3 linked regions of the Saccharomyces cerevisiae S288C genome follow. The protein of the gene in region 3 interacts with the protein of the main gene of each other region in a biochemical or structural test. Each region holds a gene or a part of one and is shown on either strand. Other genes may lie near its edges. The genes, in order: NYV1, COY1 and SED5.

Evidence for each region.
Region 1: the proteins of SED5 (region 3) and NYV1 form a complex in vitro, tested with the Saccharomyces cerevisiae proteins (2 studies listed by BioGRID).
Region 2: the proteins of SED5 (region 3) and COY1 form a complex in vitro, tested with the Saccharomyces cerevisiae proteins (one study listed by BioGRID).

The regions. Positions count from the first base shown.
Region 1 is NC_001144.5:325,888-329,163, forward strand, and holds NYV1 (Nyv1p), read right to left. Parts: upstream 1,529-3,276; coding exon 1,513-1,528; intron 1,372-1,512; coding exon 626-1,371; downstream 1-625. Other genes in the region: SUL2 (sulfate permease), read left to right, coding at 1-338; GIS3 (Gis3p), read right to left, coding at 1,843-3,276. UniProt on the Saccharomyces cerevisiae protein: Vacuolar v-SNARE required for docking. Only involved in homotypic vacuole fusion.
Region 2 is NC_001143.9:109,854-114,120, reverse strand, and holds COY1 (CCAAT displacement transcription factor COY1), read left to right. Parts: upstream 1-1,617; coding exon 1,618-3,657; downstream 3,658-4,267. Other genes in the region: STE3 (Ste3p), read left to right, coding at 1-906; 60S ribosomal protein uL22 RPL17A, read right to left, coding at 3,992-4,237. UniProt on the Saccharomyces cerevisiae protein: May be involved in intra-Golgi transport.
Region 3 is NC_001144.5:194,950-198,499, forward strand, and holds SED5 (t-SNARE syntaxin), read right to left. Parts: upstream 1,524-3,550; coding exon 501-1,523; downstream 1-500. Other genes in the region: ESCRT-III subunit protein SNF7, read left to right, coding at 1-225; aspartate transaminase AAT2, read right to left, coding at 1,880-3,136. UniProt on the Saccharomyces cerevisiae protein: Required for vesicular transport between the endoplasmic reticulum and the Golgi complex. Acts as a target organelle soluble NSF attachment protein receptor (t-SNARE).

The sequences.
Region 1 (3,276 bases), 130 kb from region 3:
TAGACTTCTCACAAGTGGCACAGACAGACGCTACGGCTCTTCAATCATTGGTTGATTTGAGAAAGGCCATAAATCAATATGCAGATAGGCAAGTTGAATTCCACTTTGTGGGTATCATTTCACCATGGGTGAAGAGAGGTTTAATTAGCAGAGGATTTGGTACTCTGAACGAAGAATACAGTGATGAATCCATTGTTGCCGGTCATACAAGTTATCACGTCGCCAGAGTACCTCAAGGCGAAGAAAATCCTGAAAAATATAGCGTTTATACCGCTTCAGGAACAAATCTACCTTTCTTCCATATCGATATCCCAGATTTTGCTAAATGGGATATCTAGCCAATGCATTTACAATGGACATGCAAACATTTATATCATCTCTTTTTTTCTATATTCCTAAACCAAAAAGTTTTCCCCCTTAAAAGTATACATTTAATATCATAATGAGATAGACACTGTTTATATAATAAGAAATAATAGGTAGGATGGTGCCATCGTGAGCATATACATACCTATAAATATTTACCTTATTTTTATTTTATTTTTCTCTTCCTCTCAGGAACAAAAGAAATACAACCGTTATTAATGTTATTGTCGTGGGACAGCTCCCCTTTTTTTTTATTTACTTACCACAGATAGAAAAACATGAAAGCAGCACTTACAAATAGTATAATAGTGAAAGTTAATAACGTAATATTTTTGACCTTCTGCCACCACATTATTTCTTTTATATTGACCGCTTTGCGCCTAAATTTATTACTGCTGCTATTTAGTTGGGAAGTTTTATCCACCAATAAAGAAACTCTTTCTTGTCTCTCCAAGAACTTGTCGATGTTATCGTTCATTATCTGGATGACGTCCTTTATTTGGTCTTCGGTGGCATCCCCGATGTCACTTATAGTGTTCTGACCATTCCCATTACTAGATTGGCCATTTCCAGAACTATTTAAAGTTTGGTTACGGTATTCGACCAGCTCTTCATGGAAAGAGTCTAGTATTTGACCTACATGCGAACTTAAAAGTTCGTTTGTAGCGTTGGACTCGTATTCCTGCAGCCCACTTAGTATCCTGATGGGCAAAATCTTGGGCATATCTACTAATGTGAAGCAAACGTACACAGTTTTGGGGTCATGGTCATCCGTGGAGTAGAAACAATCGAATCCGTCGATGAGATTCATTGACATCTTGGTAACTTTGTTCCCCTTGATCGGAACTACTTTGGGTAATACCATATCCATGATCAAATTATGGAAAATGACCGGCGTTATCTGCTCGTTTGCTGAAGTTATTGTACCATAGTTTTCGTTTTTCTGGAACGGCTGGAAACAACTAGATATTGTTTCACCATTTTTTATAACTTCCACATAACTTACTAAGACCATATGCAAAATCAAGCAAAATGGAACGTTAGTCTACTGAATGTAACATAGTAAAATTATGGCATGGGGGGATGAGCATTCGCATAATCCCTTTTTTAAACATTTGTTAATTGTGTAGAAATATTTATACATACCATTAAAGCGTTTCATTTGGTAAAAATATAAAAGTCCAATGCTCTAACAGCTTAATAAATTGTCGCTTTTCACTCTGTTCTTCAAATTTAATAGCTGTTGCTCCAACTTAGTCAAGTGCTAGAAAATTCATAGAGGGGCTTTTTTTCATCATTATTGTGACCTCATTTTTTCTTTCTTCGATCGTTTGAGGCGAATATTACCCGGGCGCTTGGTGGTAATGCGTTGTTTTAAATATTATATATAATGAATGTGGTGGTAGAATATATAGTTTACTATTTTTAGATAATGCAAATGGGTGGGGTGAAGGCGATGAAAAGGTGGGGGGTCTATCAGAGAAACCTGCTGTCACACCAGCCCTTTACGACATATTGAATCTCTCTCGTAGGTGCGGAAGTCTTATTGGTGACTTTGCCTAAATTTAGTTTTCCGCATGGTTTGAGCATTGTGCCGCCATTGTTGAACCATGGCTTGACGTCTGAGTGTACGCGGACCAAAGAACTTTTCAAATCCGCCGTTGCATGTTCGCTTGCGGATTCACGGCCTTGCGAAGGTTCCGTATTGCTTGTCGTTGCAACAAAGTGCAAATTCCAGGGGGTAGAATCGCCAAAAAGATCATTTCTTGTTTCATGGACCATGTCAGACCATAATTTTTTCCTAGTAATTAGGGCAAGCTTAATATCGTTCGTAGAGACATTTGGCTCCTTTTTGATTTCCAAAGACCGAATTTCGGAATACGTTAGCTGCTTCAACAGATGGTCATCTACTTCGACTTCGGGTAAAATACTCTTCCTTTTACATGATGTTTCAATAGAGTATAACTTTAGGAAATTGGTATTCAAACTTTTTTGTCTTATTCTTTTATTGGGCAAGAGCTCGCTAGATGCAATCGAACCGTCGGTCTCGGGCGATGGTGATGCAGATGGCCATTGTTCTAATTCTACCAGGTCATTTTCGTAAATCATGTTTTCTGTAGTCGATTTGCTCCTACTCTTCCTTCTTGAAGTCTTGCCGCCTTTCTTGTCGATGATTTGGAAGTCCACAGAGGTCGGACGAAGTTTGGCATCGGACGACGCAGAAACCAGTGAAAGGGCAGAGGACGATCGCGGACGCCGTTCGTATACGGGAGGAAAGATATCGACTAAATCCTTAACCTCCCAGTCGTCGAACAAATCGAGATCATTTATGTTTATTATTTTCATTTTGGGCACGACCGGCTCAGCCAGTACCTCATCGCCAATCGCGGGGGTCTGCAAATCGACAGCGTCAGCAATATCATCTGTCAAGGGATGAAGTTTAGAGGAGCTCAATGAAGAACAGTCGCTTTGAGCTTCCTCGGAGAACTTCCTCTTTATGCTCTGTGTTAAGTGGCCCTCATGTATGGGGCATTCGCCCGATAACGTCTTGGCGGAATTTGTTTTCCTAACTTGCGACATGACCGAGCTTAAGGACGGGGTCATCAAAGATGAGCGATTTTCGTTCAGCAGTTCGGAATCGTCTCGAGCCTTCAGTATTCTAGTCCTCTTGAAGCTATTCCTCTTGGTTAGTGTTCTAGTACGTTCAGCGCTTCCTTGACCATCGAACTGCGGCTTAGTGGAGTGGAAATAAATCTCATCGCTCACCGTCCTATTACTTGTGGCGGTCTTGTTCATGCTGGCGCTGGCTAACTTGTTATTCTTCTTATTAGTAGCGGTAGCGTAAAATGACTTGGGATAAAATACCTTTGATGAGTCGCTCCATGAGTGCAATGCGCCATCATCACGTAT
Region 2 (4,267 bases), on a different chromosome or scaffold from region 3:
TTTGTGGGCGCTGTTTATGCCACCTTAGTACTGTTCGTGTTTTATAAAAAACGCAAGGACGTTAGGGATATTTTACACTGTACCAATTCAGGTTTAAACCTGACAAGGTTCGCAAGGCTGTTGATATTCTGTTTCATTATTATTTTAGTCATGTTCCCTTTTTCTGTTTACACCTTTGTTCAAGATTTACAGCAGGTAGAAGGACACTATACTTTTAAAAATACCCATTCCAGCACCATCTGGAATACCATTATTAAATTTGACCCTGGCAGACCAATTTATAATATATGGCTTTATGTTTTGATGTCTTACCTAGTATTTCTAATCTTTGGCTTAGGTTCTGATGCTTTGCATATGTACTCTAAATTCCTGCGTTCCATCAAACTAGGATTTGTACTTGACATGTGGAAAAGATTCATTGATAAGAATAAGGAAAAACGAGTAGGCATATTGCTAAACAAGCTGTCCTCACGCAAAGAGAGCCGTAACCCATTTTCTACAGACTCTGAGAACTATATCTCCACGTGTACAGAAAACTATTCTCCCTGTGTAGGTACACCAATATCACAAGCGCATTTCTATGTCGACTATAGGATTCCAGATGATCCTAGAAAATCTCAAAATAAAAGCAAAAAATATTTGTTTGCTGATAAAGAAACAGATGATATTCTTGATGAAATAGACCTAAAAGAAAGTAGGCACATCCCTTACGTCACGCAAGGACAGAGCTTTGACGACGAAATATCACTTGGAGGATTCTCAAAAGTTACTCTCGATTATTCAGAAAAGCTTCATAATTCTGCAAGCTCCAATTTTGAAGGGGAAAGTCTTTGCTACTCTCCAGCTTCAAAAGAAGAGAATTCAAGCTCAAACGAACATAGTTCAGAAAATACTGCAGGCCCTTAACACAAGAGTGTCGCATTATATTTACTGGACTAGGAGTATTTTATTTTTACAGGACTAGGATTGAAATACTGCTTTTTAGTGAATTGTGGCTCAAATAATGTAACGATGAGCTCATCAGCTAATATGTGGCTTAGCGGTAAAAATGACGAATTGTGTGTAAACTTTACTTTAATATTTACTGCTTTTTTGCTACTTTGGTTTCTATTTTTTTCTATAGAAAAGCAATAACGTCTGTATTATATATAAATATAAGGAGAAATTGATACAAGTTCCACACAAGAAAAATTTTTTAAGCTCGAAACAAAAGTAAGCTTTTGCTCCAAAAGTCGATTAGCAGAACAGTCTTTAATAAACGAGAGAATTGGCACGATCACTTAATTGGCCATTTTTTTAGGAGCATACCAAAATTCAGGCCAGGAAAACATGAAAGAGCATCATATCTCCGCTCATAATCAAAGAATATTTAGGTACCCACAATTTCAGTTCGCTCTATCACTATTCTGCACACCAAGTTGTAGTGGTTACTTGTGTCATTCAAGAAAACCATTACTGTCATAGAGAATGTTACGTAACAAATGATATTATCTTGGGGCTCATGAAAATGCCAAAATAATATGTTTAAGAGTTTTGAATGAACACAGTACAATAAATTGTGCGTAATTGCTTCATTTCTTCACTCTGTTATATTAGCTCGTCAAAAATAATTTGACAATGGATACGTCAGTATATTCTCATGCATTGGATATTTGGGCCAAGGCAGATTTAACGAATCTTCAAAGAGAATTGGATGCTGATGTTATAGAGATTAAGGATAAAGAAACCCTGTCCTTGAATTCAAGAAAGTCATTAGCCACTGAGACTAAAAAATTTAAAAAACTCGAACCTGAGGAAAAATTGAACAATGTGAATAAAATAATTAAGCAGTACCAACGTGAAATTGATAATTTGACACAGAGATCAAAATTCTCTGAAAAGGTTCTTTTTGACGTATACGAAAAGCTTTCAGAGGCTCCTGATCCACAGCCGCTACTACAAAGTTCGTTGGAAAAATTGGGCAAAATTGATGACTCGAAGGAACTTAAGGAAAAAATAAGCTACCTAGAAGATAAGCTAGCCAAATATGCAGATTATGAGACTTTGAAATCAAGGTTACTGGACCTAGAGCAAAGCTCTGCAAAAACATTGGCAAAAAGACTGACTGCGAAAACTCAAGAAATCAATTCTACCTGGGAGGAAAAAGGAAGAAATTGGAAAGAGAGAGAAGCAGATCTATTGAAACAATTAACAAATGTACAGGAGCAAAACAAGGCACTAGAGGCCAAAATATCTAAAAATATAGATATAGAAGGTAATGGAAACGAAGATGGTGACCAAGAAAACAATCAAAAAGAAGTATCTACAAGGATTGCTGAATATAATCTAGTAACACAGGAGTTGGAAACTACGCAGGCTAGAATATATCAGTTAGAGAAAAGAAATGAGGAACTAAGTGGTGCTCTTGCAAAGGCAACTAGTGAAGCAGAAAAAGAAACTGAGTTACATGCAAAGGAACTAAAACTTAACCAGCTGGAAAGCGAAAATGCATTGTTGAGTGCATCCTATGAGCAGGAACGGAAATCAACATCACATGCAATAAATGAGTTAAAAGAACAATTAAATAGCGTTGTGGCGGAATCGGAATCTTACAAGTCGGAGCTAGAAACTGTTAGAAGAAAACTAAACAATTATTCTGATTACAATAAGATAAAAGAAGAACTTTCTGCATTGAAAAAAATTGAGTTTGGGGTAAACGAAGATGATTCTGATAATGACATTCGCTCTGAAGACAAGAATGATAATACTTTCGAAAGTTCCTTACTATCTGCAAATAAGAAGCTCCAGGCTACTTTGGCGGAATACCGCTCAAAAAGTACGGCTCAAGAGGAAGAACGAAACGAATTGAAAAAATCTGTGGACCAATTGAAGCAGCAAATAGCTACTCTCAAAGAAGCAAATGAAAAATTAGAGACGGACCTAGAAAAAGTAGAGAACGTCAGTCCTCACTTCAACGAGACTGCAAGTATGATGTCTGGTGTAACAAGACAAATGAACAATCGTACGTCCCATAAAATGTCCCCAACGAGTTCTATTATTGGTATTCCAGAAGATGGGGAACTTTCTGGAAACCAATCAACCATTTTACCAATAGTTACTAAACAAAGAGACAGATTTCGTTCGAGAAATATGGATCTGGAAAAGCAACTAAGACAAGGAAACTCAGAAAAGGGTAAGCTTAAACTAGAAATTTCGAAGCTAAAAGGCGACAATACGAAGCTTTATGAACGGATTAGGTATCTGCAATCCTATAATAATAACAACGCTCCCGTTAATCAAAGTACAGAGCGTATTGACGTGGAATCCCAATACTCAAGGGTGTATGATGAATCGTTGCATCCAATGGCAAATTTTAGACAGAACGAATTAAACCACTACAAAAACAAGAAATTATCAGCTTTAGAGAAGTTATTTTCCAGTTTTGCAAAAGTCATTTTACAAAATAAAATGACAAGGATGGTATTCCTCTTTTACTGTATCGGTTTACACGGACTCGTATTCATGATGAGCATGTATGTGATTAATATTAGCGGCTACATGACACCTGAGGTTGGTATAGTACAATCGGCAAAGTCTTCTTCAAATCTCAACGGAGGACTTGGGGGAGCAGAAAAAGTAGCTGCAGGCGTTGGTTCAGTTCATGGCATAAATCGATAGATGCCTTTATTCACTAAATTCTAATAGCTCGGTATGAAGAACGCACACGTTCCGTACTAGAGAGGGAATGAGTAACGATTGACATATTGATATAGACAGTAGCATTTCTTATTATCTTATCTACGGGATTTTTTCAGTTTATGAGCATTTCTTATACCTTTGTTCATTATAAAACTATGTTCAATACTTTGAACGTAGGATTATCCGATATAATATAATAATATTAATAAAAAACTTATTTTAGAGTTATGTGATATGACGGGGAGATAAAATTACATAGATAAAAGATTAAAATTAACAGAGAATTATATTATCATTATTTTTCATCTTCTATTTAAGCAGCAATACGCTTTTGGGCGGCGATTCTACCTCTTTGTCTAGAAGTCAATCTAACGACCTTCTTTTCAGCAGCCTTGGCGACAGCTTCTTCCTTTTCAGTGACAACTAATTCAATGTGGGATGGAGAAGATTCGTACTTGTTGATTCTACCGTGAGCTCTGTAAGTTCTTCTTCTTTGCTTTGGAGCTTGGTTAACTTGGATATGAGAAACGTACAATTTAGTAGCATCCAAACCTTTAGCCTGTAATAAAAATAGTTATGTTGTTAGTAA
Region 3 (3,550 bases):
TTGGACATGCTGGCTCAAGAAAATGCTAACCAAGAAACGTCCAAGATCGTTAATAATAATGTTAATGCGGCGCCTATCTCAGAGAACAAAGTCTCACTACCTAGTGTTCCAAGTAATAAAATTAAACAAAGTGAGAACTCTGTGAAGGACGGGGAAGAGGAAGAGGATGAAGAAGATGAAGATGAAAAAGCATTAAGAGAACTACAAGCAGAAATGGGGCTTTGAACGTGTTCTATGCGGTTTAGATGAAAGAAAAAAAAAAGGTGTTCTTACTTTCCATGTTCTGTATACGCTCTTTTATATACATGAAGTTCATAATGCTAAGTCATAATTAATAGTTTTTATTTTTTTGTTGTCTTTTTTTTTTGCGTTCATAGGTATAGAAGGGAATGTGCATTCATTATTTTTATCTGTTATTGCTATATTATTGTACAGAAAAGATGAGAGAAGGAAAAAAAATAAATAATCAAATATGTATCTTTTTTTCTTTTACTTTGCTTTTAATTGACTAAAACCCAAATAACGAAAAATACAAAGATTATAAAAAAAACCTTTGCGGCTAACCATCTATTACTCTTTATCCTGTCGAAGTATTTCAAAAGTTCCCTTTGAGCACCACTAATGTTTAAATCGATGTCGTCTACGTTTGCATCAATCCTTTGGATTACTTCGCCCTGTTCTTGAACCATGGAGGCCAGTTGTTGGAAGAGATTTCCCACTTCCTGGATTGTGGATTCTATTGTCTCCACCGCCCTATTTCTTTCTTGTAAGTAGACGTTATTGGATAACTGTCCCTCTTCCATTAACATTAGTTGAGAGTCGTTTTGAGGGAAAGACAGTTCTCCTTGGTTGGACGAGTTGTTATTCTTTTCTGAGGATTCATCTAGTAGTGAGGTCATGAATGGGTTGGAGTTGTTATACGTGGTCAAGTCCGCGGCGTGATTGCTTTGCGTTTGGTCATCAGCTGGTGCATGTCCAGTGTCGGTGGTTAGTTTTTGCCATCTGTCTTTGTTAGCCATTTCTAGTCGTTGCCTTTCCTCCAATACGTCTTTAAAACTTCCTGATATGTTTTTCATTTGCGTGTTTAAAAGATTTACGACATTTTTGGAGTGCTGTACGGCACTAGGTTGCTTAGAAGATTGATTTGATGTGTTGCCATTCACGTCGGTTTTCTTGAGCTGACTTAATTGCACTAAACTTTGTTCGATGGCATAAATCTTCCTTTTGATCAAAAATGATAGCTCGGCAATCTCTACAGGGTTGTCATTGAACATCGGTTTCCTTTTGGCCAGCACTGCTAATTTCGATAATAATTGTGCGGTGGATGAAATTTCGTGAGCTATGCCAGAAGCCTTTTTTTGAAACTCAGAGACACTTTTCCCATTGCCGGTTGTGTTGTTGGCAAAGTTTTCACTTTCTTTCTCTTGTAGACGTTCCCTCTGCTGTTCTCTAAAGTTTTTGTTTCTTTTCTTGTAACTCAACACACTTTGTTGAAATTCTGAAGTTCTATCCTTTATGTTCATGGGAGTTGTGTGGTATGGTGAAATGGTCGTTGGAAACAGAGGTGGAATAAAATATATACAGTAAAGAGTGGGTGATTTCCGTTCAAAGGTCTAACAGGAGCGTCGATGCGGCGGTAGGATTTTTTTTTTTTTTTCAATTTCTATATTGACATTATTATCATAATGATTGTTTCGAATATGCCCTTTCGCCTCGCCTCGATCAATAAACCTACCCGGATATTACAACAACATAATAATACACCTGTGAAGGTAAAGAAAGAGCATTTCTCTTTTTTTTATTTTTTTTTTTTTTTACTTTCTTTACATTAAAAAAAATATGAAGAGTGTAATAGGTAAGTATAAGTATTATTTAATCATTACAATTTAGCTTCAATAGTATAGAAGCGCACCACTTCATCAATGGCTTTAGCCACGTATTCCACGTTTCCTTGATTCAATCCAGCAATAGAAGCTCTACCTGAGGCAACCAAGTAAACTGCGTGGGTTTCTTCAAGTCGTTTAACCATTTGAGGAGTCAATCCTGTAAAGGAGAACATCCCGCATTGATTTACTATATGATCCCAGTTGCCAGGAGTGCCCAACTTGACTAAATGGTCTCTTAATGCGTGCCTCATTTTCGTAATTCTGGAGGACATGGTAACCATATCCTTGTGCCACTGTTCCGTTAATTCTGGCGTTTCCAACAGTTTAGCGACAATCTTAGCGCCGTAGGCGGGTGGGTTGGACACTTCACTACGAATGATTTTGGCCAATTGAGATGTAACAGCAGGCTTTATAGTTTTGTTTTGAGCTTGTTTTGTAAGTGCTAGATGGAAACAACCTACACGCTCACCGTACATACCGGCGTTCTTGGCAAAGGACTGACAGACAAAGACGGGAGAGACCGTTGAAAGCTTCTCCACACCTAGACGCACAGCATAGGCATCCTTGTCCAAATCTCCAGTGGCAAACCCTTGGTAGGCGGTGTCAAATAAGGCGATGTGGTTCTTTGAGGCGATAGCATCAACGATTTGAACCCATTGTTCACTAGTAGGGTCCAGACCAGTTGGGTTATGGGCGCAAGAGTGCAGAACGAAAATGGAGCCCTCTGGAGCTTTTTGAATAGCATTTAGAAAGCCGTTTAGGTCCAAAGACTTAGTTTCGTTGGCCCAGTAAGGGTAAGTCGCCGTTTTCAAGCCTTGATTCTCAAAAATGGCCATGTGGTTGGCCCAAGTAGGCTTAGACAAATAGACCAGTTTATCTGGGAAGAATTTTGAAAAAAACTTCGCAGATATATGAAGAGCACCCGTACCAGACAGTGATTGTACTGAGATTACTCTGTCTTCCTGAAAGGCATCGGATTGCGTACCGAAGATGATCTTGGCGGCGTTAGATGTCAAACTTGGCAGACCGGTAATACCGAGGTATTCATGGTTGTAGGAGCTGTCGTTATGAATTAGCTTTTCGGCGGCTTTAACACTTGGCAAGACCCATGGTTTACCGTTGTCGTCTCTGTAGGCCCCGATACCCAAGTCGACCTTGGTAGCACGTTGATCTTGCCCGTACCTTTGCTTAATACCAAAAAGGGCATCAGGGGGCAGCAATTCGATGTTATTGAACAGAGTGGCAGACATTATCGCTCTTGTGTTCTTGTATTCCTGTGTTCTTTTGTTCATTAGAATTTGGACGGTTGCGCTTTCCCTTCTTAAAGTATCCACATACGTTTATATACCGACGTGCAAGGCGACAAGGTAAATGAGGCCGATCACGCTGACTCACTCGGTCCGACTCTCGGCGATCGTTATTCACGAAGACGAAAGATAGCCATTTCCAGTGGTGACCATTAGTATTGACAATATGTACATCGCATTAAACAGTAAGAAAACATTAATATTCCGTCAGGAATTCCTGTAAATTGCTCTTACTACAAACCTGCAATGCCCATATCATCATATTCAAAGTAAAAATTTCATTTTCCGTAATTATTCTTATCTTTGGGTGCTTTGTGGCAGCTACTGGAGTAATTGTGTATAATAGATGCCACTAGT